Linked DNA regions of Neurospora crassa OR74A. Each later gene encodes a partner of the first gene's protein in a complex. Links are inferred from orthologs where the notes say so. Each region holds a gene or a part of one and is shown on either strand. Other genes may lie near its edges.

Evidence for each region.
Region 2: the proteins of NCU09119 (region 1) and NCU03558 are in contact, whole or in part, in a cryo-EM structure (PDB 8F29), measured with the Saccharomyces cerevisiae proteins. The link is inferred for Neurospora crassa OR74A from reciprocal best matches to the Saccharomyces cerevisiae genes ATP3 and ATP15. Residues at the interface, in NP_009595.1 of Saccharomyces cerevisiae: Lys148, Leu152, Pro156, Asn157, Ile159, Lys160, Leu161, Ser162, Ile163, Asn164, Gly165, Ile166, Lys168, Thr172, Phe173, Gln174, Glu175, Ala177, Leu178, Ile179, Asp181, Lys182, Leu184, Ser185, Val186, Met187, Asn237, Arg240, Asp241, Glu244; in NP_015052.1 of Saccharomyces cerevisiae: Trp4, Arg5, Ile9, Ser10, Tyr11, Ala12, Ala13, Leu15, Asn16, Ala19, Gln20, Asn37, Arg38, Gln40, Thr41, Asp42, Ala43, Phe44, Tyr45, Thr46, Gln47, Tyr48, Lys49, Asn50, Thr52, Pro57, Ile60.
Region 3: the proteins of NCU09119 (region 1) and NCU02807 are in contact, whole or in part, in a crystal structure (PDB 3ZIA), measured with the Saccharomyces cerevisiae proteins. The link is inferred for Neurospora crassa OR74A from reciprocal best matches to the Saccharomyces cerevisiae genes ATP3 and INH1. Residues at the interface, in NP_009595.1 of Saccharomyces cerevisiae: Met41, Arg42, Lys44, Ser45, Asn48, Ile49; in NP_010100.1 of Saccharomyces cerevisiae: Ser23, Ser26, Thr27, Arg31, Asp37, Phe39.

The regions. Positions count from the first base shown.
Region 1 is NC_026501.1:5,400,829-5,405,025, reverse strand, and holds NCU09119 (ATP synthase subunit gamma), read right to left. Parts: upstream 2,843-4,197; 5' UTR 2,618-2,842; intron 2,539-2,617; 5' UTR 2,258-2,538; coding exon 2,202-2,257; intron 1,799-2,201; coding exon 1,218-1,798; intron 1,155-1,217; coding exon 1,021-1,154; intron 936-1,020; coding exon 807-935; 3' UTR 505-806; downstream 1-504. UniProt on the Saccharomyces cerevisiae protein: Mitochondrial membrane ATP synthase (F(1)F(0) ATP synthase or Complex V) produces ATP from ADP in the presence of a proton gradient across the membrane which is generated by electron transport complexes of the respiratory chain.
Region 2 is NC_026502.1:232,563-236,176, reverse strand, and holds NCU03558 (hypothetical protein), read right to left. Parts: upstream 2,222-3,614; 5' UTR 2,080-2,221; coding exon 2,048-2,079; intron 1,344-2,047; coding exon 1,226-1,343; intron 1,036-1,225; coding exon 949-1,035; 3' UTR 602-948; downstream 1-601. Other genes in the region: NCU03557 (amino-acid N-acetyltransferase subunit Mak10), read right to left, coding at 90-126; NCU03559 (ubiquinol-cytochrome c reductase complex core protein 2), read right to left, coding at 3,045-3,140, 3,204-3,614. UniProt on the Saccharomyces cerevisiae protein: Mitochondrial membrane ATP synthase (F(1)F(0) ATP synthase or Complex V) produces ATP from ADP in the presence of a proton gradient across the membrane which is generated by electron transport complexes of the respiratory chain.
Region 3 is NC_026501.1:9,057,101-9,060,563, forward strand, and holds NCU02807 (hypothetical protein), read right to left. Parts: upstream 1,958-3,463; 5' UTR 1,766-1,957; exon of another isoform or gene 1,603-1,765; 5' UTR 1,573-1,602; coding exon 1,457-1,572; intron 1,360-1,456; coding exon 1,228-1,359; intron 1,035-1,227; coding exon 995-1,034; 3' UTR 602-994; downstream 1-601. UniProt on the Saccharomyces cerevisiae protein: Endogenous ATPase inhibitor, which inhibits specifically the reverse ATPase reaction of mitochondrial F(1)F(0)-type ATP synthase.

The DNA.
Region 1 (4,197 bases):
ACTCTTTATTATTGTCCCAAGGGCATAGATGCAAACGTCGCCTATACTAAAACCAGGCGGGGAAGTGAGTATGTACAAAACTCCACAGCAAATGAAGCAGCCAGTCCTTTTAACCGTTGAACATCGGAAAAGGATTAGAAACTTCCATCCCATCTCCCATGCTCTTCACACATTCAGTCCCATCAAGCGCCCCAAACAAGCGACGGCGGCGCGGAATGGAGGCGGGATAAGACAGGATGATATTGGAAACACAAGCAACTCCTCACAAATATACGAACCCATCGAGATGGAAGCCCCACCCCTTATCACCCGTCTGCGGCTTTTATTTCGAATGAAAGTTGGCCGGCGGCGTGGTCAGGTTGCTTACTGAGAATTTACCGACGAATTTGTACTGAGCGACATTGTCATGCATCTGACAAGCGCTCATCCCAGCTGAGATTTGTTGAGTGGACTGAAACTACAGCGGCTATGTCTTCAAGGCTTACTGACGACGGAGTGGGCAGGTGTGTGAAAGAAGTGGTACAATTTATGGACTGAAGGCGTTGGTACAATAAAGGAAAGGCTAGCTCATTTGATTGGTACAAAGGAAGGCATTTGGCACGCAGCTTTTTGGACCAGGACTAGACATACCACACACCACGCATACTCGTACACTTTCGAACGGCATGGTTGAATGTCAACTGAGAGTGCAGACAGGGATGATGGATTTCGGCTTTGGACCCTTTTCTTTTACTCAGGTCCCCTCTCCTTTTCCCTCAATACATCTTCGTCTTCTATTAATAGACTGCGGTTGTTTAGGCTGCTGTTTACATATCGGCCGAAGCGGTGGCACCAGTGATAATTTCGACCAACTCGCCGGTAATGACGGCCTGGCGAGTACGGTTGAAGAGAATCTGGTACTTGCTGATCATCTCGCCGGCGTTCTTGGAAGCGTTCTGGATAAGGGGTAAGAGAATTCACGTCAGCAGCCTGTCCGCTGTCGACTTCAAAGAGGTGGCATGGGACGGGAGGAGAACTCACGTCCATGGCGTTGCGACGGGCAGAAATCTCGCAGGCGTGACCCTCGCAGAGAGCCCAGTAGAGGGAGTTGGCGAGGGCGTACTCGCGGAGGTTGCCAAGGACCTCTTCATCAACCTCAAAAGCGGAAAAGTTGGCTGGATATAACTTAGTCAGCTGACTGAACCTCGACGGGCATCACGGTGGCCGACAGGACGTACGGGAAGCGAGGATGGCATCCTCAGAAAATGCCTCAATGACGGTGGGCTCGTAGCTGGTGGCGTTGATGAACTTGTTGTAGACAATCTCAACGGAAGAGTAGTCGCCCTTGAGCTGGGTGATCTGGTCGGCGATGGCAGAGGCCTCGACGAAGGTGGGGATGTCCTTGCCAACACCGGAGAAGTTGAGGACGATGTCCTTGGCGTTGGTACGGGAGAGCTGGGCCTTGGCCTTCTCGCCGATGATGACGATGTCGAACTCAGGCTCGGTGGCGGCGCGGCGACGGATGAAGCGCGCAAGACCGGAGTGGACACCACCGCAGAGACCCTTGTCGGAGGAGCAGACGACGACGAGCTTCTTCTTGCCCTCAGCCTCGAGAGGCTTAGTCTCGGCCGAGGTGAAGACCTCGTTGCTGGTGGCACCGTAGCCGCGGGACTCGGTCATGGCACGCTGGGCGCGGTTGAGCTTGGTCGAGGCAACAATCTTCATGGTGTTGGTGATCTTCTCGATGTTGCGAATCGACTTGAGGCGGGTCTCGATTTCACGGAGAGTCGCGAAGGTGGCCGCGCCGGGAGCAGCCGCTCTGTTGTCATGACCTTCAATCAGTCTGCATGTTCTGTCTCAAGGTTCGATGTGTCGGGGCTATCGCGTGTCCGTTCTCGTTCTCGTGTGCGTATGGGTGTGTGTGTGTCCAACTCCTCTTCTCTCTCTCTCTCCCCACCCGACCCGTTCCCTGCTTGCTTGCTTGTGCTGCCCCTCCATATATCGGACGTCATGTATCGGGGACCTGGCGGCGCAATCGCATTCGTTTCCAAGTCGCACAGAGAGCTGAGAGCCAGACGAAGACCCCGAGAAGCTGTAGTCGGTTGGTGCACGGTGGTTGACGAACAGACGGAGGCGAGATGGCGAGATGTTGGACGGAGACGGACGGAGCACTCTTACGGAAGAAGGACATGGTATTTTTTTTTTCTTGGGAGAGCACCTACCGGGACGAGACGGCGGCTCCAGCTCTCAGGGCCGGGCGGGCAGCTCTGGACAGCATGTTGAGATGGATATTTGACGAGGGAGAGACCTGCTGGAGAGGAGTGGCCCGGGGTTGACCACTTGATATTCAGGCGGCAATTGATCGTGGGGGAGTGATCAATAGGAATAGGACGCAATTGGCGTGAGAGGTTTGCTGAGGTCGGTTCCACACTTTCCGCTCTCTGCTCACTTTCCGGCCGTGCTTTCTTCGTGAGGTGTGGCTCGCCATCGTGCCGCTGTCCAGTCCCCAGTCGGGCGCCTTCGCCTTTTTCCCGGCTAGAGCCTGGCAATGGCTGAGGACTGCTGCCCGGCCATTGGCTTGGTTAGTTACTGGCTGCCTGCCAGCTGCGGTGTGCTCCCCACGCAGCACCTCACTTACCTATCTAGTGTACCTATGGCCCGGATGTACACAGGTGGAAGGCCATCTTGCTGCCGAGTTCTGCCAAACTTTCTTGCCAGCCATGACAGCTGCCAGAGCTACCATGTGGGTGGGGCACCCGGTCTGGCCCGCACCTGCGATCCTGCACCGCGGCATCAGTCTACTCACTTGCAGATGAACAAGCGGTACAACTCACTTGTGGAATTGAAGGCTGTCTTGAAAAGCTCTTTTTGTTCCGTTCCTGTTGGGCACCGTGCCATCCACCTCACTGAAACCTGCCTACTTAGCTTATCTCAGAATCAGACCTCTTTTTTGGGCATGGGCGGCCTGCGGCCGGGAAGGGGGCTTGCGGCCCGTGCGCTGCGCGTACAATGGAAAGGGCGCTGCGCGCCCGGAAATTCAAATTGAATCTTTCTAATCTTTCAGACTTGTGGTCCGTGCATCTATTCTTTTAGTATATTTAACGGTATTGATTGAGAACGCCTAAAAAAGAGGTTTGAGTTCCCAATCAGATAGGAATTGTAGAGGCTGGGATAAAATCACTAACTTCCCAGTAAGACTCTATGATAATAAAATAAAAAAGGAAGTTCTGGAACTTTAATGGGTATAGGGAGAATCTACTCGACGAGACGAATCTAATAGTATAATTAGTTTTTTAATGCGTCCAATAAAAGTGCCAAGTTTTTGTATAAACGTAAAAAAATTAGGTGTTGACACATGTCAGTTGGCCGACTAGCTATTTACTACAATACTATATTTTATCTCAACTTTTTGAAATTTTGTAGGTATGATTATTACAATTGTCTTATCCTCCGAGTACAATTCGCTTATCTTTGCGATGTATTATTTTTTTTCTTCGAATTTTTATTCTATTAGTACTACATTCAATGCTATAGATTCCGATGTTAATGCCCCTATTAATCCCTAATGCGTACTAAGAGTTATGAAAAATATTATTAGTAATAATAGAGAGCCTCGAGAAGGCTAGGTTTAAGTGGTAGTGCGGCTAGTATGCGAATAAAAGGATACGATATTAGTTGTGGTAATGGGCTACGGAAAAAGTATTGTCCTATATGTATTTTTAGCTTTGTATAATAAAATTACGATATAAATCGTACTGTTTACTAAGCTTAGGGAAAGTTAACGTAATGATATTGCTACTAAGGTGCTAGATTTAAAGCTAGTATGGGTAGATAAAGACGTAATTCTAAGAGTAAGCTTTTTGCCCCCCTTTTATACTGGAATCCTACTAATTCGTATATAGAACCGGGATATTTAGGACTAGATTCAATGCGGCGATTATACCCATGTTTTACTGAGCCTAGAGCTTGCGATAAGTGTAAAATTTAAGGCTATATTGCGGTCCCTAGAATTCTATAAACGGATCGGTCTTTTTGCTATTGATGAGTTATATTGCGTATCAAAATAGCGCGAATTTCGATAGGAGTTTCAATATCTATATACCTTACGGCTATTATTGCCTAAGAACATTCCGTGGTTTGGCTGTACAATTATGTTAGTTAGAATCTATTAAGACTTTATTATTAAAAAGGCTGGTTTTGATGCTAGAAACCTCGAAA
Region 2 (3,614 bases), on another chromosome or scaffold:
AGCGGGGTTGTTGCCCAACGTGGTGTGGTAGTGGTGGTGCCGTTGTTGAAATATTTGAAATTTTGGGAATTGTAGCGAAAGAAACAAACCTCTTTGAACTGCAGCTTGGTGGTCGTCTGGGATCATGGTCTTGTGTTTTTTTTTTTTTTCTTTTTACAAGAGCTATGGATGGGCTCCCGTAGGAAAGGTAATTAGTATGCACTTGAGATGAACATTTGTTTGTTTGTGGTTAGGTGAGTGGAGGAAGTCGGGTGATGTTTGGCTCTGTTAGGGGAGGAACCTGAGTCTGTGCCTGGCTGCCCGGACTTCTTTGCTGGTAGCGTCCGTGAGCCCGAATGTTAACGACCGACTCCCCTTTCGGGTACATACCTACCTAGAGGTAAGCTTCCTCACTTTCCGCTTGTCAGTGGGTTGATGAGGCTGCTAAGAAATGACAAACAATTCTTTATTGATCACATTTTCTATTTTTAAGAACCCAATCTTTCAACTCAACTGGCTTCGTCGAATAAGCGCCTACCGTATTTTGCATATCATGCAATGAAGCCCAAAGAGGCAATGAGACGCTGTACTTCAGGGAAAGGAATCCCTTGTGCAACATCTACGACTCTCGGACCTGTTACCTCTGTCAATGAGCGGCACACCCATTCTAACACTTTTTCAAGTTCATTTATATGTCACTCAGATTCACTTCCAACCAGTCACACCCAGTTCACAAAGTAAATGCCAATAAACCGTCTATTGAGTTTCTCTTCCTCGCTCCCCCAATATGTTTGATGATACAGGTCATACGTCTTCGGGCTTAGTGACACTCGGCAGGAGGTGAGGATTTGAGTGCCATGCGGGAGCGATTCGCGATATGACCCTATTTCTCTCATCTCCCGGTCCACCACTACACCACCATTCCTAGCACATCGTCACGGTGTGTTGGTTGTGTGTGTGTCGATCCGCTTAAGAAGAGGGAACGGAGGTGGCGTTCTCGGCGGCGGCGGCAGCGTTGGCGGAGCTGAGGTTGACGGTCTCGCCAGGCTTGCCGTTCTGTAGTTTGGAAAGAGAGGGGGTGTGATTAGCTTCTCTTTCGTGTTGTTTACGTCCAGTGCCGGTGTCCATCCATCTTCATGATTTTTTTTCTCTCCGTCTCCTCACTCGTGACATTCCCCCCTCCTCTTTCTTCTTCTCTTGTCTGATTGTTCCCCGATAGCCAAAAGACAAAAAGATTATTACGTACCGACCACTTAGCGAACTTGACCTCGGCAGCCTCGCCACGACGCTCAGCAATGATTCTCTTATCCTCCTTGAGGGAGCGACGGAGCGCACGAGAGGCGACCGCGAGGTAGCGGTTGTAGCTGTAATTTTCGTGAACCGTGTTAGCCTTCGTTGTCTTGTAGTACTGTTTTCTCTCGTCCGGTCCCCTCTGCTATGTTCCCCCCTCTTGCCCTGCTCCTGATCCTCGTGTGTTGCTCATTCCGTGCGCTATCTGGTGATTGTAGTGCGTATGTCTGTCGTAGCTCTGGATGAATGCTGGCCTGCTTTGTTGCTTCGAAGTCGTCGTTACGCATCGCTTGCTCGCTTTCCGGTGTTTTTGTCGCATTCGGGCCCGTCTCTCCATGTCATGGACATTCGGCGCTTTTCTCGACCAAGTGTGTCGTGTATTATCTCTCTCCTTGATCTCCCTCAATGTTTCCCTGGGTCCTGCTGTCGTCCATGACCTGGGGTTATCTCCGTCCTCTTTCTCTCCCAGTCTTTCTCATTCCACCTGTTGTAGGTCGCCCGTAGATTGTCGTCCATCGATCGTATTTCAAGTCGCGGGGCAATTACAACCCCAGATTTCGGCGCATGTAATCGTTGTAATCTCTGTTGTCGAGCTCGTTCGTGGGTAGGCAGGCTCGTTGGTCCCATCATCCTCCTCCATCCTTCTCTCTCTCTCTCTCTCTCTCTCTCTGTCGCGGCAATTCTGGTCTTCTTCCTCCCACACTTCCGATAAACTGCCCTATTTGCCCTGCCTCTCCCCGTCCCCAAGCCAATAAAAACGAAAAGACAAGATACTCACGTAATGCCAGCGGCCTTCCAAGCGAACACCATGTTGGGCGAAGATTGTGGGGTGGGTGGGTGGGTGTTGTCTTGACGGTGAAACGAAGAAAGACTTGTTGCTGTCTGCTGCTTGCTGCTTGCTGCGGTACTTGCTTGCGCGCGATTCGGTTCACTCTCGACTCGACAAAACTGGTCCCCACCCTGGCACACCCATCCACCCAATCCACATCCAACACCAGGGAACCCGAGAAGCTCCGCTGCCCGAAGCTCCGTCGTGTGTCACGTGATGCCCCTCCTTTTTTTTTGTCTTCAGTTGTGACCCCAACTCCCCCAACTGAGACGCCGCCCCAAGCTTCCTTCCATGCCATGCAGTGACGGAACAGGAGCTACGGGCGCCCGCCGCCGCCGCCGCCAGGGCAAGCTCGGCAGCTTACCTAACAAGGTCAAAAGTAAACATCGACCCCTGATACCTATTTTGAATGGACCTGTGTGATTGATGTTTGACATTGAATGTGCTATCGCATTTGTAAACTTTCAAATGAGCTCAAGCATTCTCGTCTCTTCCAAACTACTTATCTTCGCCGTAAAACTCACTAGCATATCTCATCTCATTCCTTAAGCTTGACATTTCACCCTCGTTTGTAACAGGTATCCAATGTCAACAAAAGAAATAATGCCTGCTGCATTTTGTGTTTTATAGCTCTGCTAGAGAAGTAGTGGCGAGGAATGATAAAAAGTCTAGAGGTTTGTATATGCACAAAAAGTCGTCGGTCCCCAGCCGTTCGTTCTTCATCTCCCGCTTCACAACGAGAAAGGTCTACAACACACTTCATCCCGGCCGGTTTTGCTGTTGGTACACGGTTTTGGTTTTTGTCTCCCAACCCTGGCGTCTTCTCAAAAAAGTATCCACGCCTTTCCAGTTTCAATCGGTTCGTTTCGCTGCGTTTAGGTATTTCCTCTTTCAATTAACTACGAATTGCACAACCCGCTCTGCGCCCCCAAAGTCTAGTCTACGTCTATACCTTGAGACCGAGATCCTCAGCATAGGGAAGGACGTGGAGGTCACCGACGGCGGAAACGGAAGCCTTGCCCTCAAGGAGCTTCTTGGCAGCCTGTTGAACGTTTGTTAGCATATCTTTTTTTTCTTTTCCAACTTCTTGTAGGTTCACACATACAGCCTGGAGCTTCTCAGCGGTAACGCCCTCAAGAGCCTTGAGGGTCTCGGCAACCTGGATGGGCTTGCCACCGGCAAGAAGGTTGGCACCGGCGTGGACGAGGCCAGTGCCGGAAACCTCGCTGGCGGAGAGGAGGTTGAACTTGGCCTTGGCGATAGCCTTGGTGAGGTCCTCCTTGGAGACACCACCGGCAGCGATGGCCTTGAGACCCTTGACGGCCTCGACGGCGACCTTGCCGACGGCGGCACCCTTGCCGGTGATCTGGATGGCGAGGAGACCAGCATCGGAGTAGGCGTAGTTGTGAGCAAAGGCCTCGGCGCCGGGGTTGGCGGCGGTGGCCTTGGCGAGGAGGCTGAAACCGGGGGACCACTTGATGTTGGAGACACCGCCGAGGAGACCGACGAGGACGGA
Region 3 (3,463 bases), about 3.7 Mb from region 1:
GATGGGTTAGGAGACAAGAAAAAAGGCTATGCTATGCTAGGCTGGGCTAGGCCACTTATTCTAGGTTGTGGAAGCAAAAATCAATAAACAAGATGGGTTCAAGGTAATGGCCACAGTCCAAAAAGGGGTTCATTACATCTGGAAGGGAGTTCATGTGTCTGTTTTTTTCGATATATTGTCTTCATATGATGTCGAGTGAATATCATACATATCGGACTGCCGAACTGTACATATAGGTACCGACTGCCAGGAGTTTCATTTTGAAAACCGAGACGTAGAGCATCATTGTTGTGACTCAGAACGTCGGTGGGTATCAGTGAAATTTCTTATAAGACGGACTTGAAGTTGTTAATACTTCAGTAAAGTACCGTCCCGTCTGCTTTCTTTTTCATGTTCCATGTAAGTGGCATTAAGATAATGAAGAGTCTTGAGTCTGGATCAAAGTAACTAGGTTTTGAAAAAAAAAATTAGTTACGGAACTACGTAGGCTGGCTTGCTTTCCTGATAACTTCATTACTCTTCAGCCGCATTATGAGATTCTGGTTCAAGGGCAAGCCGATGAACCCAATATCGCCCCTACTGCAGCACAGGAACTGTTCGACTCGTTTTGGACTTTCTCATAAGCTCGGTTCTGTCACGGTTTTGCTTTAGACACTTGTTCGTCCCATTGATGCAACTTGTGAGGTCCATAGGTCCCCCGGTCGTGATTTTGTGATCATCGATCATGGCTTTGCTCGCTATATTGCTACAAGGGGTAAGTTTGAGATATGTGTAAGATGACACTCATCCTCGGCGCGCCGTCCGTCCCCGTAGCCCAAGTCCCATCCTTTCTTAACCCCCCCAAATCCTTGGCCCCTTCTCATTTCATTGCATTCATACTGCGTAGGCGTAGTGGCGTGTGTAGCGATGGGACGTCGCGAGAGGGAATGATAATAAGCAGAGGAAGAAGAAAAAAAAATATGTTTATGGGTTGTTATTGTTGCTTGTTGTTCGTTTAGTTGCGCTCGCCGCCCTGCTCCCTGGTGATCTCGTCACTGTTTCTCGAATGTTAGTAACTGCCTTGTTTTTAGAACTTTCTTTTATTTGTGAAGGAGAATCGAGGCCCGGCTTCCTCTGATGATGGTGTGCGTAGCTGACTACGGCCCATATGATGCGCGCCCGGCCTGGTGTGTTTGTGGCGACTATGCGCCGGTGGTGGCTGTTGGCTGGCTGATGGGTCGTTCTTACATGTGATCAGAAAGAGTCTTGAGGTGCTTCTGCTGCTCGGCGAGCTTCTTCTTGAGCTCGAGGAGCTTCTCCTTCTCGCGCTGGCGGATAGCGAAATCCTCGTTGGCCTTCTCGCGGCGCTGGAAAGCGTCACTGGAATGGGAGGGTATGATGTCAGCGGGTTTGAACTAGTTGGAGTCGCCGCGTATCCACGTGCGCGTGCGAGGAACGCGGCGGAACAAAAACTCACCCTGGGCCGCCGGTCTTTGGGGGAGCACCAGTCTCACCGGCGAGAGCGCGGGAGGTGGTCGCAAACGCCCTGGAAACGGTAGGGCGAGCGAGCTTGGAGACGGTGGTGCGGAGCATCTTGATGGTTGGTTTGGTGGTTTGGTTGGACTAGAGTGACGTGGGTTAAGCTTTAGCGGATGGGGTCTCTTTTCTTAGGTTGGCGTGCCAGAAGACAGATTTGATGGGTGATTTGATTAAAAAGAGTTGAGTGTATGTATGGGAGAAGATGTGTTACAACAGTTGGACAGTCGCGGAAGTTGGTGTAAGCTACCTTTTTCTATTGAATCGTCGAGTTAGTTGTCAATGCGATTACGTTGTGTAGGCGATGGTGATCCAATTGCGTAGTGTACACTTGCTTGGGATGACCTGACGAAAACTGGAGACTGGAGTTCGGGGACGGGGATGGAGCTTCTCGGGTCCGCAGGGACGTCGAAGCTCGGTTCTGTTCTCCAGCGAATGTCGTCGCGGGTTGGGGGTTTGTACGTACCTTACCTTCCATACCGGGACAAGGCTCAAGGCTCGTGGCTTCTGGCGCCGACTTGCTCCGCCTGTCCGCTGACGGCTCGGCTGTGGCAGTCGCTGACAGTTGGCAGCTTTACCGCAATCGGGTTGGATCAGACAAACCTAGTTCTCGCCTGAGGCAGCAGTTTGTTGCGACGACACTCGACAGTGTTCTTTGCGCAAGCTTCCATGGCACGCTCAACCCCACTGCCCCGCCAAACCTAGCTCACCCCTCTTCCCACTTTCAGCTGTCTTGCTGGGAGGTAACGAATGACGCATCAGGGGCTGAGAGGGGGTCCGAAAGCAATCATGATCTGGAGTCAATCAATGCCCTGGAGTGAAAGACAACCACAAACGAAACTCCGTCGTGTGTCTTAGACCAAGTACCTAGTTTTGTCAACAAACGGCCCAGGGCAACAACTCCCCTGATTCAACTTGTCTCATTCAGTGATGTTGTGACTTTGATTGCAAGCACGCAAGAAGCAGGGCAACTTTGCAACCTGAACGCCACCACCTGCTGTGAACACACTCGGCAGTGAGATCTTGGTTGGCGCAAGCGGGCGGCTCTGTGGGTTTGCACAACCCAAACCCAACTTGGAGTCCCATTGAACCCTCCAGCCGTTCCAGCCCGAATTCTATATCATTCATTCAGAGTGTCTCTATGGGCGGCTTGCCCCTCCAGCCTTCTTGCATCATAGTATTGTACCAACTACCACGGCATGGATTTTGCCAAACTCCATGGAGCCGGAGATCATCGTGTTCCTGGCATTCGTGAAGGGCCTTGCGATTGAGCAAGGTCAGACAAGGGACCCTGGGTGGACTCCATCCTCTCAATCATAAATGCGGGCCCATCCCTGTCCATCGAGGTCTGGACAGCGACCTCACGGCGAGAGGGATGAAGCTCAGCTGATGCTATAGGAACGGTTACATCTGGAGGGCGACAACATGTAGGGCGAGACCCGAATGGTCTCTAGATGGCTTCAGCGTGATGGGTGTGAGCAGAAAGATCTCTTGAAATTGTAGAGATGATGCCAAAGCAAGAGTTGTAGACCGTGAGACCGATCCCGTTTGGCCAGGCGAGACAGGGTCTTGTTTAAGGACATAGGGGCTGGACACCAGGTGGAATCCGAGCGATTGGTTTGTTTACAGCAGTACATAGAGACTTGTAGCCGTGGAGAGAACTAAGCGCATGATCCAGATATGCCGGGCACTTTATGCCATAGAGACGGATGGATAGGAATTCATGGAACAACGGAATCTAGGTAGGGAGCGGCAACCAAGGTCCAATCGCTTCAATCATGGCATCCATCCGTTGCGTGTATGATTCCAGGTTGGCGGGATGAAAATAGGGCTGTTGAATAACACCACCAGGAGGAAGGGGCTGATGGTGGTGTTTGTGACTGCCACGACAGAGGGTTATCACTATCAGAGTTTTTCATTCAAGAAGCAACGTGGTGTCTCCTTTCGG